Caenorhabditis elegans: one gene and its partners. The protein of the gene in region 4 purifies or fractionates together with the protein of the main gene of each other region. This does not show direct contact. Each region holds a gene or a part of one and is shown on either strand. Other genes may lie near its edges.

What was found.
Region 1: the proteins of aco-1 (region 4) and semo-1 fractionate together in Caenorhabditis elegans (co-fractionation; one large-scale study listed by BioGRID). This does not show direct contact.
Region 2: the proteins of aco-1 (region 4) and C07A9.13 fractionate together in Caenorhabditis elegans (co-fractionation; one large-scale study listed by BioGRID). This does not show direct contact.
Region 3: the proteins of aco-1 (region 4) and Y54E5A.5 fractionate together in Caenorhabditis elegans (co-fractionation; one large-scale study listed by BioGRID). This does not show direct contact.

What each region holds. Positions count from the first base shown.
Region 1 is NC_003282.8:14,047,796-14,058,495, reverse strand, and holds semo-1 (Methanethiol oxidase), read right to left. Parts: upstream 7,297-10,700; 5' UTR 7,275-7,296; coding exon 7,101-7,274; intron 7,002-7,100; exon of another isoform or gene 6,981-7,001; intron 6,703-6,980; exon of another isoform or gene 6,682-6,702; intron 6,661-6,681; coding exon 6,563-6,660; intron 6,548-6,562; exon of another isoform or gene 6,527-6,547; intron 6,501-6,526; exon of another isoform or gene 6,479-6,500; intron 6,222-6,478; exon of another isoform or gene 6,201-6,221; intron 6,129-6,200; exon of another isoform or gene 6,104-6,128; intron 6,036-6,103; coding exon 5,665-6,035; intron 5,588-5,664; exon of another isoform or gene 5,567-5,587; intron 5,513-5,566; coding exon 5,310-5,512; exon of another isoform or gene 4,845-5,309; intron 4,760-4,844; exon of another isoform or gene 4,735-4,759; intron 4,672-4,734; exon of another isoform or gene 4,651-4,671; intron 4,525-4,650; exon of another isoform or gene 4,504-4,524; intron 4,328-4,503; exon of another isoform or gene 4,306-4,327; intron 4,188-4,305; exon of another isoform or gene 4,167-4,187; intron 4,002-4,166; exon of another isoform or gene 3,981-4,001; intron 3,964-3,980; exon of another isoform or gene 3,943-3,963; intron 3,701-3,942; exon of another isoform or gene 3,680-3,700; and 20 more.
Region 2 is NC_003281.10:9,677,563-9,684,556, forward strand, and holds C07A9.13 (USP domain-containing protein), read right to left. Parts: upstream 3,745-6,994; 5' UTR 3,708-3,744; coding exon 3,339-3,707; intron 2,658-3,338; coding exon 2,136-2,657; 3' UTR 2,097-2,135; downstream 1-2,096. Other genes in the region: Putative UDP-glucuronosyltransferase ugt-60, read right to left, coding at 1-210, 265-381, 435-534, 787-1,002, 1,049-1,190, 1,320-1,441; putative calcium-binding protein C07A9.5, read right to left, coding at 3,962-4,075, 4,125-4,235, 4,292-4,414, 4,470-4,972, 5,042-5,267.
Region 3 is NC_003279.8:14,704,830-14,710,767, forward strand, and holds Y54E5A.5 (Polysaccharide biosynthesis domain-containing protein), read right to left. Parts: upstream 3,047-5,938; 5' UTR 3,039-3,046; coding exon 2,679-3,038; intron 2,439-2,678; coding exon 2,337-2,438; 3' UTR 2,230-2,336; downstream 1-2,229. Other genes in the region: npp-4 (Nucleoporin p58/p45), read right to left, coding at 1-307, 1,129-1,220, 1,264-1,691; dus-2 (DRBM domain-containing protein), read right to left, coding at 3,460-3,730, 3,773-3,864, 4,281-4,602, 5,368-5,594, 5,656-5,764, 5,811-5,938.
Region 4 is NC_003284.9:11,336,892-11,345,490, forward strand, and holds aco-1 (Cytoplasmic aconitate hydratase), read left to right. Parts: upstream 1-2,982; 5' UTR 2,983-2,984; coding exon 2,985-3,075; intron 3,076-3,254; coding exon 3,255-3,423; intron 3,424-3,473; coding exon 3,474-3,611; intron 3,612-3,658; coding exon 3,659-3,728; intron 3,729-3,900; coding exon 3,901-4,709; intron 4,710-4,757; coding exon 4,758-5,046; intron 5,047-5,093; coding exon 5,094-5,672; intron 5,673-5,752; coding exon 5,753-6,271; 3' UTR 6,272-6,436; downstream 6,437-8,599. Other genes in the region: Receptor-type guanylate cyclase gcy-9, read right to left, coding at 302-483, 533-639, 684-813, 867-978. UniProt on the Caenorhabditis elegans protein: Catalyzes the isomerization of citrate to isocitrate via cis-aconitate. Has probably no RNA-binding activity.

The DNA of each region.
Region 1 (10,700 bases), on a different chromosome or scaffold from region 4:
GAGTGATCATCTATTTTGAGATTTCATTTTTGAGATATTCAGAAAAGTTGTAGGTCATTTGAATTTATTGTCTTTCATTTTAAAAATTCATTTAAAAACAAAAATAAAATTTCGGGGCATTTAGTTCGAGTGATCATCTATTTTGAGATTTCATTTTTGAGATATTCAGAAAAGTTGTAGGTCATTTGAATCAAATGTCTTTCATTTTAAAAATTCATTTAAAAACAAAAATAAAATTTCTGGGCATTTAGTTCGAGTGATCATCTTTTTTGAGTTTTCATTTTTGAGATATTCAGAAAAGTTGTAGGTCATTTGAATTTATTGTCTTTCATTTTATACATTCATTTTGAAACATGAATAATGTCTCTGGGCATTTAGTTCGAGTGATCATCTTTTTTGAGTTTTCATATTTGAGATATTCAGAAAAGTTGTAGGTCATTTGAATTTATTGTCTTTCATTTTAAAAATTCATTTAAAAACAAAAATAAAATTTCTGGGCATTTAGTTCGAGTGATCATCTTTTTTGAGATTTCATTTTTGAGATATTCAGAAAAGTTGTAGGTCATTTGAATTTATTGTCTTTCATTTTAAAAATTCATTTAAAAACAAAAATAAAATTTCTGGGCATTTAGTTCGAGTGATCATCTTTTTTGAGTTTTCATTTTTGAGATATTCAGAAAAGTTGTAGGTCATTTGAATTTATTGTCTTTCATTTTAAAAATTCATTTAAAAACAAAAATAAAATTTCTGGGCATTTAGTTCGAGTGATCATCTTTTTTGAGTTTTCATTTTTGAGATATTCAGAAAAGTTGTAGGTCATTTGAATTTATTGTCTTTCATTTTAAAAATTCATTTAAAAACAAAAATAAAATTTCTGGGCATTTAGTTCGAGTGATCATCTTTTTTGAGTTTTCATTTTTGAGATATTCAGAAAAGTTGTAGGTCATTTGAATTTATTGTCTTTCATTTTAAAAATTCATTTAAAAACAAAAATAAAATTTCTGGGCATTTAGTTCGAGTGATCATCTTTTTTGAGTTTTCATTTTTGAGATATTCAGAAAAGTTGTAGGTCATTTGAATTTATTGTCTTTCATTTTAAAAATTCATTTAAAAACAAAAATAAAATTTCTGGGCATTTAGTTCGAGTGATCATCTTTTTTGAGTTTTCATTTTTGAGATATTCAGAAAAGTTGTAGGTCATTTGAATTTATTGTCTTTCATTTTAAAAATTCATTTAAAAACAAAAATAAAATTTCTGGGCATTTAGTTCGAGTGATCATCTTTTTTGAGTTTTCATTTTTGAGATATTCAGAAAAGTTGTAGGTCATTTGAATCAAATGTCTTTCATTTTTAAAACTTATAAACACACAGTGAAACTGAAAATAATTTTGTTTTTGAAAAGGATTATTTGGAAAGGTGACAAAACTGTTTTGAAAACAATTAATTTTGGCTCAGACGGGTTTAGTTTGCAGGAACTTTGTTAGTTTTCCACTACTGTCTATTCATATAATGAACTGAACAAAAAATCAAAAATGAAAAAGACAATCGATAAAAGGAGCCAGTTTTTATTGAGGAGAATTCCGGATGTTCATATATTTTCTTCCTACTTTCTAATCCATAATTTTTTTGTGCAATTCTACTAAATTCCCGTGATTTCAACTCGCCACATTCTTTGTACCATATATGATGATTGCTTCGTTCACATTACAAAAATCCCCTTTTTTCAATATTTATTCGCCTGGTTTCCCCCGTTTTTCTAGTTGCATCATGAGTTGAAAAATCCTTTCAATTTTTTTTTGAAAATCTGAATGAATTGTGATGAATATGTACAAGCTAATTTTTTATGCAAAACATTTTAAAAAAAACCAAATTAAATCCAAATATCCGATGTACAATCTCCACCGGGATAACGCATCTCGTGAGCCAAATAGGGACCTCCTTCAATTTTTCCAAAATCGATCAAAAAGTCTCGATTTATTTCCATTTTTCCAGATTCTGGATCAATGTTGACTTGAACCATTGTGGCGCCAGATCTGAAAAATGACAGGGTTGCAAACGCGCTCCATTGAGAAAGTAGGACGAATTTGGTGTTTTTTTTTTGAAATTATCATGAATTATTAAGCGGACGAAAAGAAACATTACCAAGTCTCGACGTGACTATTTTTTCAACGGAAAACGTGTGTGCGCCTTTAAAGAGTAGTGTAATTTCAAACTTTCGGTGCTGCAGCTATTGAACTGTTTTATCGATTTCTCATAGTTGTTCTTTTTTTTAAAAATTATTTAGACTAGAAAAACAAAGAAAAACATGAATTCGTGATAAAATCAACTCAGCAAGTGAGAGAGAATCGCTGCAAATATGAAAGATTTTTGAAACGGTGATTTTTTTTCTAAACAATAATTTCACCATGAGCGTATTTTTAGTGTAAACTACAAAATTCGAGATAATTTGTTTCGTAAGGACAAAGGTTCAATGAATAAAATGAATAAAAAAGAATTACATTTCGCGAATAGCCCCACAAGTGAGCGGAAATAGTTTGCTCAAAATATACTACATTTATGAAACGGTAACTTTTTTCTCAGAAATAATTCTAAATTTTTTCATAAGTAGCACTCACTTGACATGTTCTGGATAGAATTGATCATCCCATTTCTTGTATAAAGAAGTTGTAACATAAAGTCTCTTTCCATCCAATGACAACTGTAACATCTGTGGACCTCCTTCAATTTTCCGTCCCTTCACATAAAGTGCTTCAATTGGTTTTTCACCTTCTAGAACTTTTACATTTGATTCCGTATGTACACTTCCTCCAATATAAACTTGAGAATTCAATTTCACCTTCAATGGATCAGAAATGTCATATTGACGAATATCTCCATGAAGCCAACACGAGACATACAGGAAACGATCATCCATTGAGATAAGGATATCAGTTATAAGAGCTGGCATTTCTGGAAGAGCCCATCCACTTACTTTTTTAGAAGGAATGAAGGCAACGAGAGTAGCTGCATGGGTTGTTGAGTTCTGGAATTATTTGAAAAATTGAATGTTTCTCATTCAACGTATCACTGAAGATTTGTTTTCAGTAGTATTCAACAAACATTTGGCAACTATTTTCATACTGACTATCAGAATTTTGAGATTTTACAAGAAAAAAAATACAAAGTGTGTTAAAAGAACACCTCGAGAACAGGAAAGAAGCAACTTTTCTGAAAAACTTTATTTTCAAAAAGAGGTTATCGCGAACTGTCGAAATAAGTGTAGGTATATGCGCTGCCAAAATTATATTAACTTTTTGAAACAGTAAATTTTATGTTTTTTTGTAATTTTGCCTGAAAAGTTGGTGGCCATTCACAAAAAATAAATTTTTTGATCGAGCTTTTTTGTTTCAAGGGCACACTGCTGAAGTGGATATAATTTTATTTAAAACGTAATTTTTGTTTTCAAAAGTTTACACGAAAATCTACTGTTTCAACAAACTCATTTAACATCTCGCTAGAAAATTGTTTTCAATTGAACTGTGGCGTGACTTATCGACTGTTCTAAAAGAGCTTTAAAAATCATGAGACATTTAATGTTTCGATTGGCTGATTAAATGTTTCAAGTTGAACAAGGTGTCAATTTTTTAAAATTATATGTTTCAGATGATCTAGAAAACCCGGTGAGATTTCTAATTGTCACTCGAACTTGATTTCCAGTGAGACTATACTTTGCACAGAAAGGAATTTTTGTTTCGCAGCAATGCAGCAGAAGCAGAGATAATTTTACTTAAATCTGAAATCGGTTTTTTTTTCAAAAATTTAATAAAAAAGTCTATAACTCATTAAACATCTTACTTGAAAATTATTTGATTGCATTGACATTGCTAGAAAAACTAACAAAATCATAAAATTTTTAATGTTTCAATTAGCTGATTAAACGTTTTGGTTTGAATAAAGTTTCACTGAGACTATAATGTCCGCGCTTTAAAATTATTTTTTAGTGTCGAAAAAAAAATATTTTTTCTTTCTTTAATTGACCGAGTTTTCTTGATTCACAGTCACGCAGAAAAAATCGATTTGAACTTTTTGTCAAAACTAAATGCATGCTGCTTTTTAAAAAAAGGTTCATCAAAAATCTACTGTTTCACTAACCTAATTTTAAAAAACTCGGAAAAATACGTTTTTAGTATTTGCATCATTGTTAAACGTTTAATGAATCTATAAACTGATTTAAAAATAAATTATTAAAAACACTCAAAGATATTTTTTAAAAATTATTATATGTTTCAAGTAGTCTATAAATACTGAAACTATTTTGAATTAATATTGGTTCTTCCAAATGAAAAAAAAGAAAAATAGCAGTTTGGTCTACACAACTTTCTCTGAATTTCAAATTCAAATTATGCCCTAATCATGTATGCCAAAGCATTAAAGGATTTGAAATGTACGAAAGCGCTCTGATTTTCTCAAAATGTCCACATTTTTCTCGAAAGTTAGTCATTTTGCCAAAGAACTTGCTCAGAAAACTTCGGGAATGAAAAAAAATCAATTGAATAGAACGGAAGTTTTGATAACAACGTATTGAAACAATTTATTTATTTTTAAACTTGAAAGTTTCTAATGCAATGTTTCGGTGATCCCAGAAAGTTACACATCAGCTTACAACACTGCTATTCAATTACTGACAACGAAAATATCAGTACTATTGATAAATTGTCAACTCCCCCTACGAAGATCATTTATATTTGATTTCATACGTTTTTTTGGATTAGCAAATGAAATAAACTTCCAATAAGATACAATATGATAACCTATTGAAACAGTTTTCTAAAAGTTTTCTAAAAATTCTTTTCAATATTACTCACCTCCTCAACAGGATGAATTCTAAAAACCGGATCTATTTCAATAGATGACAGGAATACCAACAGAACTAAACTAAAAACAACAGAGTGTGTTATGAGGACAAATTGAAACTGAAAAGTTTTTTGAATGTTTCAATGTTTTCGTAAAATCACGGCATTGATCTCCAAAACTGTTTAACCATTTTCAATTGACTGAAACTTTTGAAAAATCAAACACTCTACTGAAGAGTTTTCATGGAATAAAATTTGAGTACTCTGGAAGAAGCAACAGTTTTGGAAACTTTGCTACCTCCCAATCAAGGATGTGCGGCAGTTCTCAAAATTTTCCGAGCTCGGCAAATTAGTTTTACAATAATTTTAATCTTGATTCTATTCTACGGTTTTAACATATTAATCTCAGTTTCTAAACAAATAATAACTTATTGAAACATTTCAATTTTTCTGAAAATTCTATTGAATATTACTCACCTCCTCAACAGGATGAATTCTAAAAATTCCTGATCCAAGAGCACATCCCACAAAAGCGTGCTCACTGGTTGGCTCATGGAGGAATCGAACTTCAAGTGGAAGTGCTCCAAGTGGCTGTGGTAGATCAATTGTTTGAAGATATTTCTTAGAGTCCCATTCGAAAATATGAACACTGTTTCCGTAGAGACCCTCTCCGACGTGAGCTGGAAAATTTCATGTTTTAAAAAAATTTGTAACTTTTTGGTTTTTAGTGATGCTGATGGCTCATGCCGCAAGGAATAATTTTAATTTTTGGTAAAATGAAACAAGAGGTGTTGAAACAGTGATTTTTTAAAAGTATTTTCAGTTTTCCCACCTGGATTAAATCCCTTTTTAATATGATTCGGTGATCCCCATTCCGTAGAAATCATCACATTTCTCCTTGGCTGGTACCAGAAATCATAGTTAAACGGAACAGTCTTCTCGTCAGCTGGCCATGTTCCTTTCGGCTCAAATGTCTTTCCATCCAACAACAAAAAGTTACCAGATGGAGTTCCATTAGCTTCTCCCAAAGTACTAATCATAATATTTCCATCGGCAAGACAATGTGAAGTATGTGGAAATGAAAGGTTTAGAGAATGAAGTTTTGATGGTTCAATTGTATGTTCAAGATAGATTTTACGCTCATTTTCTACGTTGATAATGTAGATACGGTCAGAGTTCAGGCAAGGAACGATCAAATGGGATCTGAAATTATTTAGAAATTATTCTACTGTTTTGGTTTGTTAATGAAAGTTCTCCGATCTAAAAATTTATTGATCTTTCAGTTGACTGAAATGTGAAGTTTGTAAATTCGAATTAAAAAACTGTTTCAAGAAATTGGTTCAAGTCTAACTAAATTTATAAAAATGATCTTCTCGTGAATGTCGCTCTGATCTGATTTTATTACAAAGCTTTTGCATCCGTATCAAGGGTCGTGGAAAAATTTAGGTTTATCAGTTTTTTCTTGAGAAAATCTAAAAATCAGAAAAACAAACAAGGGAGAATCTATAGATTTATCAAATATATGATGATTTTGTTTGAAGAATAAAAAAAAACATGTTATTGTGACCACTTTTTAAAAAAAAAAAGTCGGAAAACCACACTTCAAAAATGAAAATTTAATTAAAAAAATTTTTAAACAAAACTTGATGTTTCGAACAGTTGATTTAATTTTGCCACCTGTACTAATAGAGTAATAGTATCATCCTAAAACAATAAATATTTTAACTAACCTCTTCTCAGTTGGTTTGTCATGACAAGAAGAGCACGCATTCCATCCAGTATGATGGACTTCATCACCAATATGTGGCACATCAACTCGGCTGATCACCTGAAAATATTAATTTTACTGGAAAATGTTATGATTGATCGATCTCTAAATGCTAAAACTACGAGTGGATATCAATATTTTGAAACCGATAATTTTTTCAATTAAATAATAATTTTTAATTTTTACTATACAATCATATATCGTGCAAATCGATTTAAAACTCTTAAGCTTGAGATAACCTTGAAATCAGAGAGATCAAATCAAAGTTTCCTGATTTATTTTTGGCTGATGCAACAGAGATGAAAATTGCAAAATTGCAATTTTATTCCGGTAATTTGAACAATTTTTCTGATATAGAAACAGTTATTTCAAGCTTTATGGACGTGATCTACAAAAGACAATCAAAAAATTAGTTATTCCTAAAACTCAATACGTCTTTTTGAAACAGTATTTTTTTCCTCCAAACAAGAAAAAAAATCAACTTTACAAATAAAATTTACCTGACAAAAAGTGTCACTCTCTGGATTCACATCAACTGTAAAAATGGCATCAGGACCATCAGCTGCATTTGGAGCAGTCACAAATAAAACTTCTTCTCGTGGTCCTTTTATAGCATCAGCTGGAGATGCATATCCTGGACCACCATGACATTTTAAACCACAGTTTGGGGACATTTTGGTTTTTGGGATTTTTGATCTGCAAATATTGACTTTTTTTTAAAATCAAACAATATAATCAAATCAGTAGTATGGATTAAAAAGTTACATACATACAATTTTTTGCTGAATTAAACTATAGCAAAATTAAATTTTTTTCAAGTTTGACACTATTTTTGTAGCTTTGAAAACAAGTTGCACGAAAACTTTTGGGCAAACATTTTTAGCTTCAGAAAAAATTACTTTTTTTGTCACAGCTCTAAAAAGGGGAATGTAAAAATTAAAAAAAAAATACAGCGAAAATTTGTAAGTTAAAAAACTAACGCGGATGTAGCAAAACCAAAAAAAACTGAAAAATGTGAAACTTATAAACACACAGTGAAACTGAAAATAATTTTGTTTTTGAAAAGGATTATTTGGAAAGGTGACAAAACTGTTTTGAAAACAATTAATTTTGGCTCAGACGGGTTTAGTTTGCAGGAACTTTGTCAGTTTTCCACTACTCTCTATTTATATAACGAACTGAACACAAAAATCAAAAATGAAAAAGACAATCGACAACAGAAGGGGATGACATTGATAAGGTATCACTAGCTGTTCTATGTCTTATCTCTAGCAGTCATCAAGATGATTGTTCAATGAACCAACTAGAAATCTACTAGAAACACGTAGGAAATTATTCTGATACAAACTACAAGTACCGTTTCTGGTTGAGATTAATTTTTGAATTTAGAGATGAATTTGTGAACATTGTGTGACTGATTCAAAGTGCACAGATATTTTGATAACATTTTTTTTTAATTTTGGAAAACCGATCTGACTACAAAACGTGAATTTATTTGAAATTGAAAATAGTGAGTTTTTTCGTTTTTAATTTATCTTCTGATACTAGGCTTAACAGAAAAATAATAAACAATTATTCAGGGTTGTGCGCGCGACAAATTCCAAAATTTGAAGGACAAAATTATTGATGAAGATGGGATCAACTGTAAATTATTGAAAATCTCCATGAGGATTCCTTGAAACAGTAAAAAAATGTATCGCGAATATAGCAAATTTTTAGAAAAACTCAGCTTGGGTTAATTAAATTTGCAAATTTCTTATTACGTTTTCCACTAATAAAAAGGTTTAAACAACAATTTTATTTATTTTTTATTTATTTTAGGTGCTGCAAACGGCAAACGGCAAATGTCACTCGCTAAAAAAAATTGGTCGACGATGAAAAAAAAACTTTCGGCGTCTTTCAGCATGCGAAATTTTTTTTATTTTTATTTTTTTTTTATTATTGGAAATATAAACAAATTTGAATATTAAGTTGTTCATATTTCCTCATGAGAACAGTCATTCAAATCCACCTTAAGCATAAAAATCTCCACAAATATATGGGGAAATTACAGTTAATATTGCTACATGTTAATACTGTTACAATACTAATAGAAAACTCATACCAATAGTAAAATGAGGCATGTTATCAATCTTTCATTTGAATTTTATTGGATTTTCACATTGCTTCTCATTGTATTATATAAAATTTATTGAAACGCCTAATGAAGTTTTAGTGAAATAGTTAAACATTTTTTTGCAAACTTTAAGCAAACGTAAGCCGTTAATAGCTTAACTGTTAACTGGTGCAATTTTGCTTAAATTTGCAGTTTTGAAGTTTTTCTACAATCGGTAAATTTATTCACATTTCAAGTTAGTCTCGATTTGAAATGCAAGTTGAGCGCTTTTAATATGTTTTTTTCACATAAAATTTAATATTGGGGTTTTTTTCAATTTTTCCGATTTTTTAAAAACAATCAATTTTCAAAATTTCTAAGTCAAAATTTCTAATCAAGACAAATTTGGTTACAATTTTTTAAAACATTTTTTGCAAAAATTTTGGCACGGTGAAGTACGGTGTTTCAAAAAAAAGTATACAAAACAGTGAAGCAAGCAAAAGTCTGTGAATTAGACAGAAATGAAAATTTAAAAATACATAAAACTGAAGCGCAACGGTGGGAAATTTGTAAACCGCCTAATAAAAATGTATTGAAACACTGCAACATACAGTGCGTCCAACTTCTATAGCACCCCCCTCTATTTTGAGTGTTTGAGGCTTTCTGGAAATTATTTTGAAAAAGTGTGAATGTAGTTCGATTACAAATGTTAAAAAACCGCCACACCTCGGTTTTTGTGAGAATATCTTAAAAACTACGGAAATTAGGTCAAAAAGTTGAAAAAACGGCCGTCCAACTTCTATAGCACCCCCTCGAATTTTTGACAATTATCGTTAAAATAGTCAATTTTTACTGGTTTTCTTTAACACTAATTTTTTTGTAAACCGTAGGAAATTTGTAAACCGCCTAATAAAAATGTATTGAAACACTGCAACATATATTCCCAAATGTAGAAATATTTTCAACAGACTTTTGCATTATCTTTATTATTTATTTAATTTTGTTAACCCTTGTATATAATAAAGGAACGTTTCCAAACAATTGGTAAATTTATTCAAATTTCAATAATTTCCGATTTTTATTATAATTTTAACAAATTAAAAAGGCTAACTAGGGACTCTTTTTTTGATGTCCAGAGAGTTATGAATTATATGTTTTCTGAAAGCTAATGAAATGAACATGTCAAATTCAAAATAAAACCTTGCCCAAATTGATGTTAAGACGTTTTTTTTACTCCGAATCCGTATTTAAGTCAAACGGTTGTTGTTTTTGAAGCTTCACATCTTGATGGACTTCGAAGATACAAAAAATAATCAACTAACAAAATGTTAAGAACAATATGAAAATTATTATAAACTATAATTGCATTCGATATGTTACATGCTCCTGTAGTTATAAGCATTTAAAATATTGGAAATTGGCTTAAACAAGTGTCATTGTATAAATTAAATTGCGACGTCTAATAAAGTTTTAGTGAAACAGTGAAATATTTTTCTGCAACTTTTGAGAAAACTTTAGTTATTATTAGCCTAACTGCTAATTAGCAACATCCTGTGAACTGTTGAATTAATACTGACACTGTTTCAGACAATTGGCAAATTTAATCAAATTTCAACTTAGTTTTAATTCTGTATTTCCAATCCCAGCTTTTGTCAGCATTTTCACAAATAAAAAGGTTTTATGTTTATTTGTTCATTTTTCTAATGTTAAAAAAATAATCTTTGAATTTTTCGATATGCGTTTTTGAACATTGTGCTACTCGGATGTGTACAATTCCAGAATGTGCAGATATTTTAACATTTCTTTAAATTGAAATTACTGAAAGTCGGTTAAGCTACAAAACGTGAACTCATAAGACCTGTATTGTAGTACCATCTCAAACTAAATTTGAAAAAGAGCTTGAAAATTACTATAAGTATGTAAAAAAAAAATCAAAAAGACTAGTTTGGCAAGTAAATTTTTTTTGTGAGATTAACGTCGTAAACCTGTATAACGGATAATAAAA
Region 2 (6,994 bases), on a different chromosome or scaffold from region 4:
TAAGTCCATCCGATGGTTTCTCAATTATATCTTCTAACCATTTTTCCATAACCAGCTTCTTTCCTTTACTAACTCCCAGTTCTCCAGAAAAAGCGATATGAATTGGAAGTGGTCGTGGAAAATCAAGCATTCTATCCCCATTAATTAATAATGATGGTACTGTGGTTTTTGCTAAATCCCATAAATCATCTTGGTCAGCACCGACGAACTCTGAAATTTTTGATTTTCGAATTGTTTGATCCCTCAGTACACAGCCATACAAACCTCGATAGAACAAATTCTCGTCAACGAGAAGATTTTGAGGAAGATTCACAAAATCAAGAAGTGACAGATGCCAAAGAGTATTTTGTACACGATCCAGAAATAATTGAGAGAAACCAGCTGAAAATGAAAAGTTTTGCTTACTAAAAAATTGAGCTAGACGCGTCAAATACCTGAAGAAAGTGGATGCGGAATCGTTGATGGAATCGTTCGAAGTCCAAGCTGTACAGCCGAGAATTCGTAAATTGATGTTCCATGTGTTATCCAGATTACCTTAATTATTTATTTTTTGTTTTAAAAATAAAACTCTGAACTATGAATCTTGTAAAAAGTAAAGTTCATCTCATAAATATTTGTGTTTTATTTGAAAGATATCGGCAATTTCAGTTTTCATCCGGATTTTCATGCAGTTTTCTAATCATGATTAGATATTATTAATTAAAAATTATTAAAAGTCGATAAAAATCATCAAGTCCTAAATTTAAGATACTCTTCTAGATCCTAATCTTTTCCTCTTCCACTTACTCTTTTTACATTCATTTTCTTCGCAATTGCAAGTGGACACAAATCATGGAAATGTGCAATGGCGACATCAAAACCGTCTTTCCTAAAATCTTCATACACACTTTCATCGTGTCGAAGCATTTGTTCACATGCTTCTACTCTCATATCTTTGAATTCTTGACCAGTCCACCATAAATCATGAGCATCTCCTGATTCGAACATCATTGATTGGAAGACCTGCAAAAACTTCTTAAATAGATATTTGGAATGTTTAATTGATTACTTTCAATCCTTCAGTTTTCAAAGTATCCGTGAAATGAATTGGTATTCTGTATTCAGAAACACCTTCCGGAAGTTTGTTATTTCCCGTGTCAAGCATCGCCATTTCCATTTGAGTCCACATTTTGACATCATGACCGAGAAATCTTAAATAAAAACTGCGGATTTTTTTTTGAGGTTATTTCTAAAACACAATTTAGCATTTAGCATTTTTTTTTCATTTTTATTAACTTTTTTTTGGTTTTTTCATAAAATAAAACCCTCGTTAAATATACCTGAGGGTTTCTGCAAGTCGGTAATTGAATAAAACATGAGAATTAGTGAAACCGGGTACAATTTGCAATATTCGAAGGGAATCGACAACTGACAGAAAAATACAAAAAATAGGTAGATACATGATCTTTCGACAATCTGAATTGTAACATTGAGAGAACGATTGGTAAAAGAGATAAGTAAGATGCAAAGGATTTGCAGGAGGTGTCTGATATGGAGAAATGATAATAAAAAGGGTCGAATGATCAGTGGTATCATTTGTTACAAGGACATCGTTTATTGATTAAATTCTTAAATCAGAACCCGTTTTTGAGAATAAGTTTTGTGATTTTCTTGCAATTAGCGGTACCTCGTATTTTACTCATTAGGAGTTAACTCAAACGATCAGATCAGAATAACAGAGTCCCAAAAAAGGCTTATGATTATTATATGTATAAAACCCAAAGTTAGTGATTTTTTCACCTCAACTGTCCCCTTCTGGAAATCCATTTTCCATAATACTCCCCATTTTCTCTTTCCCCGTCAATTTGTTACATGATTTATTCCTCATTTGAATATTTTTCCGGTTTTAATTATGTTTATGATCTCTAATTCCCTTTTTGTTCTCTTTTTTCTTTCTCATTCCGCTTGCCGGTCTCACTATTATTTTGTTCCTCTCTTTCTTTGTCGGACTCGTGGGGGCCTTGACCTTTTCTTGTTTGGATTATATTTTATTAAAAGAATAAAATCACTTGGGGCCATCCTCAAGGCAAGAAAACGTTGTCCGGCTAAAAAAAACAGTATTGAAAAAAATTTATTTAATTTAAAAAACAAAGTTCTTATTTGCGCTCGAACAGGAACAGAGCGCCTGCATAGATTGAGTCCATGTCGAATGACGTGCTCCAAAACTCCTTCTTGTGATGATCCGAAACCCGGCTCCAACCTCCGCCATTATGTATCCAAACGATTCCGTGTAAGCCTTCGGGTACTATCTTAACGTCCAGAAAGCCGACCAGCCGACAATGTTCTCCAAAGATGATGAATTCCTGGTTGTCCTTCATCCTCATTTGTTTGTAACGTCCCTCAGCAGAGTCAACATGGATCCATATGAAGTTCGAGTTGAACTTGTCGGCTATGATCTTCTTCTCGATCATAGCCGATTTTCCCAAGTGGTCCTTACATTCCCATGGCTTCTGGAGCACCATGTCGGTGAACGACTTTCCTTTTGGCAATTTCACACAGAAAAGTGGCCAATTCGACGGCTTCGGCTTTGTGCAGCCTTGAACACTGCAAACAACGTGGCTCTTGTACCGCATGGGATGGGGAACCTTGGCGTCGTTCTTACACTCTACAGCCAAGTCCTGAAATTTATATTGAACTGATTTTTTTTCAAAATTAACAAATTTAGATTAATATATCTTCGAAAAATTTAGTTCCTCTATTTAAATAGAAATTAAGGAAACTTCTCTAAATTATTCGCATTTTCATTCGCTTTTTTTAAAATTCGCCTTTTAATGTTATTTTTTATTCCAATTCTCGTTCTCGGTTTTTTTCTCAAAAAAACACCAAAAATTTGAAAAACGGCGGCCATATTCGACGAGGAAATACCATTTTTTTGATGTGACTGATTCGACCGGGTTACTGTATTCATGTGATATTTGCGCATCGAATATGGCGATAAAATAAGCACGCATGGTTTTGGGTAGTTACAAAATAAGTTACCGTATTTCCTCTATTAGTCTTGCATGCCTAGTTTTCAAGACTAATTTTCAATTGGTCCGTTAGGGTGCAAGACTAATAGAGACTGCAAGAATATTAGAGGTTGTAAGACTATTTTTCGAATGCCCAACAACCTAGGGAAAGCGACCATTTTCCAATATTTTATCTATTATTTGAACCATTTCATGTTTAATTTACTCAGAAATGGCAAATTTTCTGACGTTTCCGGAAAGTTTTGCAGGTCTAAAAAGTGGGATGGAAGACTATTAGAGACTGCAATATTTACTAATAGAGGAAATACGGTATTAATATCTGATACTCACTTTTAGCAAAATTACAAATGCAAATGACGGCGAATTGACTCCCTTGTGCAGCTCGCTACTGCTCAGCATTCCTCTCAGATGACCGACAACGTCTTTTTCACCAGAGAGCAGTTTCCTCAGCTCTTCATGCATCTCACCAACGCAACATGTACGGAGATGATCTTCAAACGAAGCACGCTTCAGAAGCTGCAATACAACGTTCATGAAGCAATCATCTCCGCCGTTACGAAGGGTAAGGCACGAAGACTTCACCCTATGAGGACGAACGAGCTGAAGACCTGAGGTGGCTGCATAATCTGGAGAAGGAACATCGTCAGCGTCTGGAGCAGAAACGCCGGCAGCAACTGGAGCAGCACCTCCGAATGGCATTGTAGTAGAACAATAAGAATAATAATGATTTCTAAAAAATGGAAATAAAATGCTTTCACGTTTTTCACGCCCTTTTTCATGTGATTTTGATGATGAAGTTTTATGATAAGATTAATCAAGTATGGAAGCGTTCGGAGTACACGTTTTCAGAAGATACATTGAAACAATGTTGTAAAAACAAACAATACATACTTTATTACAAAAAATATTGATAATTGACCATTAAAATATATTTTATTTGATCATATAATAATTTAATAAAAACTGTTAACGAAATCCTTATATTCCAGGCAAACTTGGTCTGAGCTGGTCTCGGCCTTCTTTGCAATCTTGCTCATGAAGAATTCAGCTTCTTTTCGAGACATACTCTGAAAATCATAATGTATTTTAACTATATATATGAAAATATGGAATTACATCCGAAATCTTCCTTGCATCCAGGTTCTTCAAAGCATCTTCAATGGCTGAATGATCGTCAAGAATGTTTGTTGTCTCATGCTTCACCATATAACGCATGTAGTCATGCTTCTGAACATGACCAGTTTTGAAAAATAGGTGAAATTGTTTTAAATTAAAATTATAACTTCATACGTAGATGGATCCAAGAGGGACATCGTCTCTTTGAGAGTACTTTCAACTGAAAAGTTATATCCTTGAGATTTGAGGCACAACTCGAAGTGCTCATAGTCTAGCCATCCATTCTTTTCCTAGAATAGTGACGTGGATAAAATATAATTTTAAATAATTAGCAAAAATACTTACTTGATCGAAATAATCAAAGGCTAATTTAAACTCGTGAAGCTGTTTCTCAGTGACTCCGTTGTGATTTCTATCTGCAATTGATTGCTCCACAGATCGCAACATTGAACTCATCAGCTCAAGACATTGACACATTTCGACAAGAACTCCATGTGGTGTGGCAGAAGAAAATGTGTTATCGAAGATGTAACGAGATTCCATAAGACTTCTCCACTTTTCCAGATCTTGAATCATTCCACTTTTCTGTACCTTAGCAATCAGATTCATAAGGCTCTTCTTCTGATCTTCTAGTCTCAAACTATGAAGCATCTCCAGCTCCTTCTTCACATCCACGATGACATTATCGCACGTTTTGAGGGTACAAGCGGCTTGTTCGCAGATTTTTTCATTATCGGAGTGTCGACTGATCTCTCCATCAACAATTCTAATACGGTCGGAAATTGTTTGATCAAGTCGCTCCATTCGGCTTGCCAAAGTTTTGAAGGAATGCGTAAAACGTTCTCCGGCTAAAAAAACACAGTATTGAAAAAAAATCATTTAATTAAAAAAGTTATCAACAGCGCTCGAACACGAACAGACAGTTGGTCGCGAATGAGTCCAGGTCGAATGATTTGTCGAAAAACGTCCGGTTGATGGCGACTCCGTTTCCAAAAAGCCGACAAGCCGACACTTTTCTCCATAAATGATGTGCTCCTGATTGGCTTTGATATTCATTTGTTTAGGATATTTATCGGCAGCATCAACAAAGATCCATATGAAATTCGAGTTGAACTTGTCGGCTATGATCTTCTTCTCGATCATAGCCGATTTTCCCAAGTGATCCGTACATTGCCATGGCTTGTTTGTTTGTTTATTCGAAGTTAGATAAATAGTAACAAAATGTAGTACATAGAAGATCAACGGGGAAAATCGAATAACACATAAAATAAGAAAGACCCGTCAGAGTCCATCTTAAGTATGAAAAAAGTAAATACTATTTGACAGAAGAGGATAAATCAACGAGAAATTTAAAAGTATGAGATTTGTTGGTTTATGAGGTTCATAAACTGGGAGGGGGAAAGGAATGTTGATACATTGTGAACTATACTGTTCCAAAGGGGAACGACAATAGAAAAGAAACCTTTGGACTTTGGATTGACTAGAGAAAGGAGCATCGGCCGACGTTGAGATCTGACATGCAAAATGAATCTTTTTGCACCTGGGAAATGTACAGCGCTTGTTATAATTTTATACAAGAGAATAAGCTGTGATTTTAAGCGTGTTGAGCGGGCTGTGGCCATGTTGAGAATGCTTAGGCGGTTTTTATATGAAAGTGAATAAACTAATGAGGTGTTTCTATGTGATGTTTCCGATACTTTGTATTGTATATTGTTACGTTGTAGTATTATTCTTGAGTAGTATTTGAGAGCGGATTCTAATGTACCTGACAGTTTTGAATGAGGGGGAGGGGAGTAAATGTGGGACCCATAGTCAAGAATTGGTGAGACATACGTTTTAAACAGGTTCACATAGAATTTAATGGAGCCAGAGGGGAAGGATTTTAGGATCTGTTTTGCCCTAAGAAATGCCAGGGAAGAGGTTCTATTGATATGCGATTTGAATGACAATTTATCGTCGGTGATAAGCCCGAGGTCTCTAACAGAGGAACTGGGGACGATGGGTAGGGAGTCAATATTGAAATTATGCCTAGGGTTTTGAGTTTCTATGTGGAGTAGGGCCGTTTTGGTGGGAGCAAGCGGCAACTGATTTTTCATAGACCAATCTACAATGAGATCAATTGTGCTTTGAAGTTCAATTGGATCGTGACTGAATGTTTTCACATCGTCCGCAAAACAAGAAAATTGAATAGAAGGGGGTATGGATAGGAGTAGGTCGTTCAAAAACAATATAAAGAGAAGGGGACCTGTAACTGTTCCTTGGGGCACCCCAGAAGGAATGGGGAGGAGAGCATTAGCGGAAACTGCTCGGCAAAACGTCGCAACTTCATAGCAAACTCCTGCAACTTAATAAAAACATTTATATAACTTTGTAAAAAGCTGTTAAGAAGTTGCGAAAACCAACGGGATTGTGAGCGAAATTTAGCTCTAAGAAATTGCAAAAATCGTCTGAAAAGCTGCAGAAGTTTGCTTAAAAGCTAAAATGCCTAATTGTTGTTAAGAAGTTGCAAGAGTATGCTATGAAGTTAAGCCGTTTTGCCGAGTGTGGAATTGATTTTGACTGAGAAAGTGCGATTGCTTAGAAAACAGGATATCCAATTGCAAAAGACGGGGTTGATGCCAAGAGATTTGATTTTAGAAATAAGTATGTCATGAGAGACTTTATCAAAAGCTTTGCAGAAATCGAAAAATATAATATCAAGACGTTTGTGTTCATGGAGTATAGAATGATAAAGAGAGGAAGATCGAGTGAGGGCTGCGGTGCAGCTCCTAAAATTTAGAAACCCGTGTTGATGTTTGGATATGAGGTGACCGTATTCAGACTTGATTCGGTGTGAAATAATTTTCTCCATTACTCTAGCAATAGTATCA
Region 3 (5,938 bases), on a different chromosome or scaffold from region 4:
TGTGTAGCCGTCAGAACATCCCGTCGAACTTCCTCAATCCATCCACGTGTCTTATCGATTTGTTCTTCGATTGCCACGTTGTCAATTGACATATTCTCGGTTTCTTCCATAAATTCTCGATTTTTCTTGAATTTATCCTCGATCAATGGGAGTAAATCTCTGATTAGAGTGGCCGCTTGTGTCCATTCACCGTCTTTCGAGGCATCTTTTGAGTCTCCGGTGCCTGTGAGTGATGACGTGGCAGTTCCTGAAGCATTTGGAAGCCCACCACCACTGCTGTTTTGTTGCTGGATTCCGCCGAGACCCACTGAAAAACAAAATGATTTTCAGGCTGCGCAATCTCAAGGCGGCAAACGATTTTTTCCGGCAAATTGGCAAATTGCCGGAATTGAAAATTTCTGGAAAATGGGAAAACCGACAAATTGACAAGTTGCCGGTATTGAAAAATTCCGGCAAATCGGCAAGCCGGCAAATTTGACGAAATTGAAAAATTCCGGCAAATTGCCGAATTTGCCGGAATTGAAAATTTCCGGCAAACCGACAAATTGCCGAAATTGAAAATTTCTGGCAAATGGGCAAACCGACAAATTGCCGAATCTTCCGGAAAAGCGGCAATTGCCGAAAACTTCCTGCAAATTGCGGTTTTGCACATTAATGTTGGAAATTTTAGAATTTTATTTTTTTCCGGCAAATCGGTAAACCGGCAAATAGCCAAATTGCCGGAAAACGCCAATTTTTGAAGAAAAATCGACAAAATAAAGCTTTTAAATGGATATTGCTTATTTTTCACGCATTTTTGGCTGAAAAATAGGAGGAAAATAAGGATTTTTGATGTATTGTTAGAAAATTTTCCAATTTTCTATAAAATTAGCGTTGTTGAACATAAAAATCGTACTATATTCGATTAAAAACACACTTTTGAGCTGAAAATGTCCGATTTTCAGATTAAAAACGCTAGTTTTGATAACTAAAATTTTGTCGAAATTCGGCGAAAAATAGGATTTCCAAATAAGGAGTTGAAAGTGGCAATTTTCTATTTAAAAAAGCATTTTAGAGCTGAAAATTCGCAAAAAATGGAATTTTTGTGCTGAAAACAGAGAAAAAAGAAGCTCCAGCATCTATACTAACATGGAGCAGCTGCAGTCGCTGGTGGAGCTCCAAATGATGTCGTTGCCGCCGCCGCCGGAGCCGTGCTCGATCCAAAAAGTCCACCTCCAAGCCTGAAAATTCAATTTTAGATGCATCGAAAGCTCTAAAACCAACGTCGGAGCCGCCGATGTGGTCGATTTCGCGCCAAAAAGACCTCCAGTAGCCGGGGCAGTACTTCCGAACAGACTTCCAGTCGCCGGAGCAGCCGTTGATGCTCCAAAGAGCCCACCAGTCGGCGCGGGAGCTGCTGTGGTGGCTGTCTTGGCTCCGAAAAGTCCTCCAGATGGTGATGCGGTGGTTGTTGTCGAACCGAATAGTGGAACTGAAGACGTTGAAGCAGGTGTAGGAGCAGTTGTTGAGCCGAAAAGTCCTGCAGAAGCTGGTGCAGGAGCTGTCTGAGATGCTCCAAAGAGCCCTGATGACATGGCAGCAGCAGGCGCACCGAAGAGGCCTCCAGGCTTTGGAGCAGCAGCAGCCGTTGAGCCAAAAAGAGGTGTTGTTGAAGCAGCTGGAGCCGTGGTACTTGTACCGAAAAGCGACATTTCTGGAAAATTAAATTTTTATGGAGAAGAAAGAAAAGAAATTGGGAAATTATTGATTTTTAGACATTTTCTATTCAAAAACAGAGGTTTTTGATGGTTTTTCCTTCGGGAATTCGAATTTTCGAAGCGAAAATCACTTTTTTTTTTTGACAATTTCGCTCAGAAATCACAGAAAACACTTTTTAACAGAAAAAGTGATTTTTCATGAATTTTGAGATGCTTATCCAGATTTTAATGGAGAAAAAACGGTGGGGATTCGAAAATTGCCAAAGAAACGTTTTTAGCATCCAACATTCGATTTCCGATGAAAAATTATCAAAAATCACGAATTATTCAGGCTAAAATTGAGTTTTAGGGCATTTATCCCACGTGTCTATGAGAAAATTTTGAAAAGTCAATTTTAGCACAGAAAAATTCATCAAAATCGACATTTCTTAGAGAAAAATATCTGAAAATCAATTTTTGGAAAAAAAATAAACAAAAATATAAGTAAAAAGAGCTGGAAAACTCGAGAAATTGGAAATAAATCATTTTTAAAAACGAAGAAATCGGTTTATATGCAAACTACAAGACAAACGACAGGGTGGAAAACGAGAAAACGGGGAAAAATCAACAAAAATTCAAAAAAAAAAACGAGAGAAATTATTACAAGGAGGCGAGCGAATTGCGGTGAGCCGTGTATGCCTCCTTATTCTTCTCGTTGACACCCTCCACGTTGCGTGCCATCTCGATTGCCAGGTAGATGATCTGTAATTAATTATCGATCGATTTTGTATGGGAAAATGAGGGATGAGGGGTTTTTGGCTGGAAATTGAAGTTTTCCCAAAAATTTAAGCTAAAAACTGCAATTTCCAGCAACAAATCATGCCGAAAATCACAAAATCTGAGTTTTCTAGCTAAAAACTGGGCTAAAAACGCAAAAACTGCAATTTCTAGCTACAAATCATGCTGAAAATCACAAAAATTTCCAATTTGGGTCCCACTAACTCTTGGAACAACCACAGTATTTTCCGGACTGTAAGCCTTCGAAGCATGAATTCTCATCAGTGTTCCCATTGAATAATCGTCGACGATATCCTTGAATTGCTCACAAAACTCGCGCCATGTCTCCTTGGCTCCGCCGTCTTTCAGCAAACTCGTCGTCACCTCCTCCACATTCAAATCGGGGAATGAGCTTCGAAATGCGGCGAGAATCGCATCCTGATGCTTGTTGAGCCGAAGAACCCGAGTGTCACACCGCATTATCAGATTCATGTGAACTTCGGACCGTTCGCCGGCTTTGATCGCCCAAGCCATCTCGATCGATTCGTCGTTGACGTATTTATCAGCATCTCCGTAGTCAGTCATTTTGTTACCTGAAAATTTGGAAAATTAGAGAGAAAATTGACTTGAAACAGGAGAATTAGAAGAAAATCATGTAAAAATCTGCAAAAATTGCAAAAATCCAAGTTTTTCAACAAAATTTGCGGAATTAAATTACATTTCTATAATCCTACACACTTAAATAACATTTTAAAGTGAAAATTACGCATGAAAACTCTGAAAAAAGCCTGAAAATCTCTAAAAATTGCGAAATAAATTCGAATATTTTTTAAATTCTCCAAACTCCGCCCATTTGCAACTGCCGCACGGCGTTTTGCCATCCCCGCGCGCGCAGTGGGGATTCGATAATTAATGGAATAAAACCGATTTTAAATGCAAATTATAGCAAAAACAAACAATTTTTCAATATAATTTAACAAAAAAATAGCAAAAAACAAATTTAACATCATTCTTCTTCCCAATTTCCAACCAAAAGATTCCGAATATTCATTCCATGTAAGGCTGCGAGCGCGGCGACCTGCTCAGCCATTCTTAAATTCGGTTGTCCAATTCCTGATCGATATTTCTTGTCACCAATACACGCCGTCGCCACGAATCGCTTATCATCTCGTTTTACGACCTCATACGTGGCTTTTGGGATCTTCGTCTCCACACAATAGTCGTGAAGCACCATTTTGGGCGTTGGCGAGAAGCCGACCGAGTTTTTCAGGCGTTTTCTGCAGAAAATTAATGGTTTTTTGTTTAGGAGGAATTCTTACAATGGAAATGAGACTTCAATATTATAAACACCGTCATCGTCAACACGAGCTCGCTTCTTACTCTGTTTCTTCTTTCGTTCATCTCGCCATTTCTGAAAATTTCCAATTTTTCCGTAATTTTTTGTGTAATTTTCGAGCAAAAAGTTGCAGAACAGTGGGAAAAATCCAATTTTCGACGCTAAAATTGCTGTTTTACGTTTTTTTTTCAACTGAAAAGCTGAATAATTCTTTGAAAATCAATTTTTGTTCGATTTCCGGCATATTTTCTGGGTGAAAATTGAATTTTAGGGCAAAAAATGACTGGAAAAGTCAATTTAAGCCACGAAAATTGGATTTTGGATTTTCCATTGAAAATACATGAAAATATTGTTTTTCTTTTAACTTTTTGTGATTTTCATCAAATTTTTCAAATAAAATTGGATTTTCAAGTGAATTTTTGTGATTTTCAATGTGTTTTCCACACATTTTCAGTGCGAAAATTGCCGGATTTTCAGATATAATCCCGTACATCATATACATCCTCCATTCCAAACGCTTTACAAATCTGCAGTACACTTCCGGCGGCAACCGTCGCCTTTCCACGTGGATCATATTCCTGATCGGCGCCCAGAATCCGTTGAACAACGTATTTTGTCATAGTGTAAGACTCGTCGTATTGGCACGCGAGTTCCAGAAAATTTCGAATATCTTCGTATTTATCTAAACATCCTTCCCGACGGAAAATTGACGGAGTTGAGAGGGCTTTTCTGGCAATCATTGTACTACTTGTCTCGGTTAACAGCTGATATTTCTCAAAATCTGAATATTGCTCGATTTCGTCGGAGAGACCGCTGAAAAATGTATATATTAATTGTTTAATTGATTTTTGCGATGTTTTCTATTACGGGCAAGGGTGTCGGTTTTTCGATTTTCCTATTTTTCGCAAAAAATTTAGATTTTTCAAATATTAGCTTAATATTTTGCCATTATTCTTCTTTTTAGAAGAAATTTGTATGTTTTTTTCTTACAAATATAAGCAAAATTATATAAAAAAGTCATATTTTATGGTTAATTTTTTGAAATTATTTTTCGATTTTACAGAGTATCGAAAAATCGAAAAAATTTCGATTTTCGATTTTTCAATTTTCACTGAAAAAATTACGGGAGCACAAAAACTCTGAGAATGCGTAATGCGCAACATATCTGACGCGCAAAATATCTTCTACAGTAATCCTTTGGATGACTACTGCAGTTTTCGCTATGAGATACTTTGCGCGTCAAATATGTTGCTTGATACGCATTTTTGTGTTCCAATAATATTTATAAAACTCTTCAATTTTAAAGAGATACGGTAGTTTTAAAAATACGCAATGCACAAAGCTCTCGTGTACTCCGCGTGGATAATTTTTTTCAACTTTAAAAAATCTTTTCTCCTCGTGGAGTACACAATTTCTGCGTAAATCGACAAACTGCTATTTTAGAACTGGAAAATCTATTTTTTTTAAATATTTTTTAATGATTTTATTTGATTAAAAATCAAAAATCTTCTAAAAAAAATTTTCAAACTGAAATCCGGATTTTTTTCGAATTTTCCGGTTAAAACCCCGAATAATTACTTTGAAATAACGGGAATACTTTGAACCGCCTGTGCCACGTCACGAATCTCATCAATTCTACATTTATCCGGTTGCCGTTCATCACGCCGTCTTCCATGTACTCCTAACGCTGAAACTCTGCATTTTTCGATTTCCTGGACCAGTTTCAGAGTGTCTTCAGGGTCATCGAGTACTCGAATTTTACAGGTTACAGGGACTTTTGCAGCGGATTTTAGCGATGTTAGAATCTGAAAAATGGGATTTTTTTTAGTTTAGAAAGTGTGTTTTTTTTTCAAAATTTCCTCTTACATCGACAATTTTTTCGGTTTGAGTCAAAAGCGCCGCGCCCATTCCACAATGAATCGAAAATGGCTTCGGGCAGCCCATGTTGACATCAATTCCAGCCACATCATCACCACTGAATTTTTATTAGTTAATTATAAACATAAAGTATAATTTCCCACACAATCTGGGCGATTTTCGCCGCTTTTTCTCCGGAATTGGTGCCGATTTGCAGAATACAACGCCCTTTCTCCTCTGGTGCTAGCCTCAGAATAATATCATCTCCGTTTCGATAATCGATTGTTCCGAG
Region 4 (8,599 bases):
TAGAAACAATCACGTTTCATCCACCGCAATTTGCAATATACAATGTAAAAAACTCAGAACTGCGGACAATTAAAAGAAGACAGTGGTCAGTTAATATTTTTGAAATATTCCCCAGGAATCGTTTCACAGGAGAATATTTACTGTAATAAAATGAAATAGACAGTTTAATTATGATAAGTTTCAAAAAACTACATTATTGCTAATGAAAAACCTATTAGAATCCTGATGAGTACTTAAGTCAAGCAATGAAAATATGGAATATTGGAGCAAACAAGTAATTGTTTATTGTCAAACGTCCTACCTGGTCCCAATTGTTCAGATTTAAATATGTTACAGTCGCCTTTGCCATTTCACTTGCAGATGTCAGTGCAACTGAACCGAGTGTGGGAAATTGGACACGATCAGAAAGAGCGTCATCTCCAGACATATGAGCAATTATTGGAACGTTCCACCTAGGCGCGAGTCTTCCAATAACCAACATTTCTGAGAAAAAAGAATTACTAAATAACTTGAACATTCTCAAAAGCATTACCATTATTACAACCGGGTCCAAAATACACTGAAGCATTTTTCAAATAATGAAGGAAAGCAGCATGTTCAACTCCCGAATACTTGTTGCAACTTTCCATTGTAAAAACACTAAAATTGGAAAGACTTGTTTTTTTTAAATTCAAACTTCTTACGTTAAAGTATAATTTTGTGGAAGAATATTTCTCATTTTCAAATCGTCTGCGCACATTTTTAGAACATCTGGTTCGTGTGCTATAATAGGGTTCGTGGGGTGAAGGTGACCTATTCGAACAATCCCTTCTGCTGAAACAAAACAATAATTGTTTTATATGTATTTTATGAAAAAGATTGCTCACAACTAAGTGTAGTTTTCACATGTTGATTGATTTCGTCATGACTGATTTTACTGATAGATCTTCTTGACTCCGCAAGTAGCAAAGAAGAAATGAAAAATAAATATAAACGCATTTATCATCTCATATGAGGGGCATTTATCCCGCAAACAGTAACAATTCTTATATATTTTTTACAGGAATGTGTTGATGGAACGAATTCCAATATATGTAGAAGTAAAATGTAAAAAATTCGGAGTAGTTGGATTGATGAATCTCCGAAGGAGGTGTGAAGTCTTATGTAGCCACTCACTTCTTATCATGCCGGAAGGGCCCATCGGAAGTGGATAGATGGGGTTTAATGGAAAGAAGGCAAGTGTGTGTCACAACAAGCGTCGAATCCTACGTTTTTCTGATGTACACTGATGACTAGGTTGTTGTGAATACATTAATAGGATCTCAGCGTAGAACTATGACACTGTCTAATGCAACATCATCGAAACACACGAAAATACTTTTAAAAAAACAAGCCGAGTTTTTTTTTTGGTAGTTTTCAGAATTTTTAACAGTGTTATTCATTTACCAAGTGTACTCCCTATTAGTTATACAGTGTGTAATTTTCTTGCATTTCTAAGAGTCATCCTAATATTAGAACTTCAATCAGTATTTCAATAATTCGGGACAAGACAAGGCGTACCTTGTAGAATTTTCAGATAATTCTTCAATTCCTGAAAAAATAAACCTAGACTTGTTCAAAACGTTTACACATGTTAGCACTTGTCTTGCTTTTTACAACTTAAAAGGCTACTAGAGGTAATACGGGGAATGATTGTGAGACCAATTTTAATAAAATACGTTTCTATGAATCTCAACTTGGGATCAAATAAAAATATATATGCAAAGTCTTTCTGAATAAAACATGGTTATACAATGATACGCGGTAAACTATGAAAAACGGTAATTGTAATATTATGAACCAGCCGTGGTCCGCACCTTCGGCGCGGCCCCCGACTTCTAGGGCTGAAAATCAATTTTTATGAAACTACCGTAACCCTACAGTATTCCTACCGTACCACTATTGTACCACTACAGTACCCCGACTATATCCCTACACTAACCCCAACTCACTATCCCTCCAGAAGTCAAAACTTCACAGACTACAAAGACTACATAGACTACAAACTATGGACACACAGAATAAGCGCTTTATATTATATATAGTAAATTATCATGAAGAACAGAGACATATGAAACAAAAATATCAATCAAAAAACCAACCAGCTTGTGCTCAAACATCTTCTGTTTTTTTAACTTAGTAAATTTTAGTCACGCTAACAGAAATTCCGTACTCTATGAATTTTGTGAACTACAGATTCTAGTGATTCTAGATTCTAGTGTATTAGTTTAGTTATAGCATGGATTCGATTGCATTTTTTCAAATGTTTTTTTTTTTGAAAAATAAAACGAATTTTTGCTCTTCAGTTTCCCAAAGGAATTTCCACCTCACCATCAATCTGTGCAAAGTTCTCCCACTTGATAATCTTTTTTAAATGATCTGATATCAATGATAACAAAAGATAAAAAATATCGGACACAAATCTCTGAATTTTCTTTTTATCTCTCAATATGTCTGAGAGCGCATTGTTTCAATTCTCAAAAAAACCACACTGCAACATTGTCGTAACCTCTTGGGTCAAGTACGCAACGTGTATGCAGATCGGCCCTCTTCTTCTCTTCCCACCGCACACTATTTCACTGTGCACATTTACCTTTTTTGACTGTTTCTTGAGTTCTGAGATGGTATCGTTTTTTCTCGCCGCCTTTTTTCTCGACATTAGCCTTCTAGAAACACTGGACAACGACGCAATTTCGTCCTAGCTGATATGAAAGATGACTATCTTCGACCGACCTTGGCACACACACACACATACACAACATACACAAAACGCTCTCACATTCAATACAGCCACACACACTAAGCGCGCTCAGACACACACAAAAACGGACAGGTCGACTACACCGATTCGGCACGCCTCCATTAGTTTTCCTCGCATTCTCTTTTTCATTACAATGCACTTTTGTCGTTCTTTTCTATCGAAATCCTTTTTTTTTTAAATTTTTTCCATATCTAACTTTCCAGATATGGCTTTCAACAACCTTATCCGCAACTTGGCTATCGGAGATAACGTCTACAAATACTTTGACTTGAATGGTCTCAATGATGCTCGTTACAGTAAGTATAACTATTTTACATCCTATTCTCAATCTATCTAAAATATATCTGCATATATTCAATTTTGGAACTTTTGTAAACGAAAAAAAAAACAGCGAATTTCGACGAGCAAGAATAAATTCATTATGTTAAAGTCATATATAAATCATTTTCTTTAAAAACCTTCCCAAAATTTTCAGACGAGCTTCCAATCTCCATCAAGTACTTGTTGGAAGCCGCAGTTCGTCATTGCGATGAGTTCCATGTATTGAAGAAGGACGTGGAAACCATTCTTGATTGGAAAAACAGCCAGCGTAACCAAGCTGAGATTCCTTTCAAACCAGCACGCGTTATTCTCCAAGATTTTACGTGAGCTTGAAAATAAATTACCAAATTTATGTACATCAAGCAATTTTCAGTGGAGTTCCAGCCGTCGTAGATCTTGCCGCTATGCGTGACGCCGTTCAAAATATGGGTGCTGACCCGGCCAAGATCAACCCAGTATGCCCAGTTGACCTTGTCATCGATCACTCCGTGCAAGTCGATCACTACGGAAAGTACGTTCTGCGCAACCTGGTTTATACATTTATTGTATTTTTTTCAGCCTTGAAGCCCTTGCCAAGAATCAGTCCATTGAGTTTGAGCGAAACAGAGAACGCTTCAACTTTTTGAAGGTAAGGAAAGGTGAAAATGCCACTTTCAGAGTTTCACTGTCACGTTTTACTCTCCCCATCACTTTTCGGAAAATCACGCTATGCATTTGATTGCCCTTATCACTACTTTGTTCAATGAACACACAAATATTCAGATAGCTTAAATGAAATTGTATTATCAAATTATTTTCAGTGGGGATCCAAAGCTTTCGACAATCTTCTTATTGTACCGCCAGGATCTGGAATCGTCCATCAGGTTAATCTTGAATATCTTGCCAGAACAGTGTTTGTTGGAAAGGATGGCGTTCTCTACCCTGACTCCGTCGTTGGAACCGACTCCCACACCACAATGATTGATGGAAGTGGTGTTCTTGGATGGGGTGTTGGAGGAATTGAAGCTGAAGCTGTGATGCTCGGACAGCCAATTTCCATGGTTATTCCAGAAGTTATTGGATACGAATTGGTTGGAACTCTCAGTGATACCGTTACCAGTACCGACTTGGTTCTTACAATCACAAAGAACCTTCGTGATCTCGGAGTTGTTGGAAAGTTTGTTGAGTTCTTTGGAACTGGAGTTGCATCGCTCTCCATCGCCGATCGTGCAACAATTGCTAACATGTGCCCCGAATATGGAGCAACAATTGGATTCTTCCCAGTCGATAGCCGTACCATTGACTACCTCACTCAAACCGGACGTGATACCGATTATACTCAACGCGTGGAACAATACCTCAAGTCTGTTGGCATGTTCGTCAATTTCACCGATGACTCCTACCGCCCAACATACACTACCACTTTGAAATTGGACCTTGGAAGTGTAGTGCCAAGTGTCTCCGGACCTAAGCGTCCACATGACAGAGTTGAGCTTGCTTCTCTGGCTCAAGATTTCTCCAAAGGGCTCACTGATAAGATCTCCTTCAAAGCTTTTGGCCTTAAACCAGAAGATGCCACTAAATCTGTCACAATTACCAACCACGGAAGAACCGCAGAGCTTACTCACGGGTAAGACTATAAATTAGAAGTACATGCAAAAAATAATGTTTCTTCCAGATCCGTAGTTATTGCTGCCATCACATCCTGCACAAACACCAGTAACCCAAGTGTCATGCTCGCAGCTGGATTGGTTGCCAAGAAGGCTGTTGAGTTGGGATTGAATGTCCAACCATATGTGAAAACATCCCTCTCTCCAGGATCAGGAGTCGTCACAAAATACCTGGAAGCATCTGGTCTTCTTCCATACCTTGAGAAGATTGGATTTAATATTGCTGGATATGGTTGCATGACATGCATCGGAAACTCTGGGCCACTTGATGAGCCAGTAACAAAGGCCATCGAAGAGGTATTGTTGAAACTACTGTTTTCTTTTCAAAATAATTGTTTATTCAGAATAACCTTGTCGTTGCCGGAGTTCTCTCTGGAAATAGAAACTTTGAAGGAAGAATTCACCCACATGTTCGTGCTAACTATTTGGCATCTCCACCTTTGGCTGTTCTTTACTCGATCATCGGAAACGTCAATGTTGACATTAACGGAGTTCTTGCTGTTACTCCTGACGGAAAGGAAATCCGACTAGCCGACATTTGGCCAACCAGAAAAGAAGTTGCCAAGTTTGAGGAGGAATTCGTGAAGCCACAATTCTTCCGCGAGGTGTACGCTAACATTGAGCTTGGATCCACGGAGTGGCAACAATTGGAGTGCCCGGCTGTCAAGCTTTACCCATGGGACGATGCCTCTACTTACATCAAGAAGGTTCCATTCTTTGATGGAATGACTAGCGAGCTTCCATCACAATCCGATATTGTAAACGCACACGTTTTGTTGAATCTCGGTGACTCGGTAACCACTGATCATATTTCTCCAGCTGGATCAATCTCGAAGACCTCTCCCGCCGCCAGATTCCTTGCTGGACGTGGAGTAACGCCAAGAGATTTCAACACTTATGGAGCTCGCCGTGGTAACGATGAGGTAAGAGTTTATTCATTCAATATATGATTTTCTAAAAACTTTGAATTTAACAACACATCACGTTTTTTTTTAAATTTCAGATCATGGCTCGTGGAACATTCGCCAACATTCGTCTTGTTAATAAGCTTGCGTCGAAGGTTGGTCCTATTACACTCCATGTGCCATCTGGAGAAGAGCTCGACATCTTTGACGCTGCTCAAAAGTACAAGGATGCCGGAATTCCAGCCATCATTCTTGCTGGAAAAGAATATGGATGTGGCTCATCTCGCGATTGGGCTGCAAAGGGGCCATTCCTCCAAGGAGTCAAGGCTGTTATCGCTGAAAGCTTCGAAAGAATTCATCGTTCCAACCTGATTGGAATGGGCATTATTCCATTCCAATATCAAGCTGGTCAAAACGCTGATAGTCTCGGACTTACTGGAAAAGAACAATTCTCAATTGGAGTTCCAGACGATTTGAAGCCAGGACAGCTCATTGATGTGAATGTATCCAATGGTTCAGTTTTCCAAGTCATCTGTAGATTTGACACTGAAGTCGAACTCACCTATTACCGCAACGGAGGAATCCTCCAATACATGATCAGAAAGTTGATCCAATAAACTGTTATTTTAGCTTAAATTTTTGAAAGTCAATTTTTTCTATTTTTAGATAACTATTTACTTTTCGATGCATCAATCCTTCTCTATTTTCTGTGATATTTTATGAACATGTTTGAAGTCCAATAAATTTGTGATTTGGAGCAACGAAATAAATCAATACTTTTTATAATTGGGCTATAAAACATGTGGATGGTCAAATTTATTTTAGTTTTGGCGTCTCTGTTTTGCTAAAACCACTTAAATTCGTAATATTTTACTAAAACTCAACAAATAACGTATTTCTACTATTTATAGGAGAAAGAAATGTGCTTCCAGTTTGACAGTGTTTAGGATATAACATTTTGCAACTTTTTCTTAAAGGTCGTCATCACTAATTGTATTTTTTGTTCTCTCAGTCATAAGAGTATAAATAAATAAGAAAACATCTTCATTGAGAACAACAAAATTGGGTGTAAAAGCTCAAACATTCTAGTTGTTTGAACAAAATGAACAGAGAGATTACGGTATTTATTTGTACTGAACTGACTTTTTATAGACTAACATTTCAGCAGTTCATTCGTACTATTCAGTCCCATTTAAAAGTGCACACTCACCCAATAAAATCTCAGTTGCCCTATAGCTAACATCACTAAAGTAATATGAGACCCTTGCCAGCGCAAAAGATATTTTTATTTCAAAATAAGTAAATTTTGCATAACTTTACGTTCTTTGCCAGAGAAATGAATGAAGACTGTAATAATTGACCGCTTAGCCGTTCATCAAACAAATAGAAGAGTCGGGAGGAAGTATAATCTTTTGTGAGTAAATGCAACACCTTTCCATTATTAGTCGACACTTTTTGATTTGGAATTAATTTCTGAAGCTTTCCCTCTACAAAATGTTATATTATTCTTGTGATAAAATTTCTCATGTTCCACCAAAGGAACACGCATGTAAAAAATTTACAATCCATGTATCAAGGTTATTCACGCCATTTTTGTGTGTTTTGCGATACTTGACAAAGAAAAATCAAGAGGTGTTTGAAGCAAAAACAATTCTTCATGTTTTTTGTTTTCGCTCCATTTTGAAAACGAATGCAACAATCGGTTAAGCCTCTTTTCTTTCACACAATATTTCGTTTTTGCGGACTCATTACTTTTTCAACTTCACTCATCAAGTGTCGCTTTTTCGTTTTCTTTTCCGGACTTAGTAAGTCATAACTCTCATTTTCTTGATGACCGCTAACTGCAACTGTCACTTTAAATTAATTAATGAATGAAGTTCTGCTGCATTCTTTTTTTCATTCCCTACTCCATTATCTTGTTTTTTCGATGCATATTTCGAATTATTTGTAAAATAATTATATTTAAATATCTTGAATATTAACTTGAAAAAACTAAACCTTAATAAAAAAAAATTATCGTTATTCAGTATTTGTTTTAAGAAAGTCAAATTTATATATATATATATATATTTTCAACATCCTTATTTGTAATTTTCAAAAATTAATTGAAAAAAAAAACCCAACAACTTATTTTTTTGTCATAGCTTTTATTTCAGATATTTTTTTTTGTTTAACAATATTTTTCCGGAAAAAAAGTCACTAAAAACCGAAAGTCATAAACCTAAAAATCACTTCATATGTTGAAAGTATGCATTTTATGGATATCTCAAAAGCAGCTTTATTCAGTATAAAATTTCATTGAGTTCATTCAATTTCAAACATTGGTTAGCTTTTGATTGCCAACTTGATCATTTGATATAAAAAGAAAAAACCTCGGGCGAAAAAAAAAACACACAGAAAAGTTTAATTTGTTAGTGTGTGATGTACCCAGACATTCGGAATCGACAGTTGTTAGAAAATTGAAATGACGAAGAACACGCACGCGGTTTGATTTTGCGTATATATTTTGTGGAGGCTGTCATCACCTTCACGTTGTTCAGCATTTTTCGCCTCCTCCTCCGGGTTTCTTCTTGCGTTTCATGCACTGGTCATCATTCAAAGATTGGAAAATATTCCGCTGGACGAGAGACTGGACAAATGAGTGGCGAAGAAGGGAGAAAAAGAGAAAGTAGCCAGCCCGGGGCACACGCGTGGTGCACACACTTTAGTACTTTTTCTAGCGGTCTTGTTGTTGTTCAACTTTCCGTGTTTTCATCATTTTTTGTTAAAATTCACAATTGGTCTTTGATGTAATACGTTCCTAAATAGCACCTAAAATGTCACAAATTTTCCTTTTTTATTCAAAAATAGAATGCCATCATTATTGAAACTAGTCCAATTTTTTCATGAATAAATTAAACGTGTGTGTTTTAGGATTATTAAGGCCTATAACGACACTCAAGTGA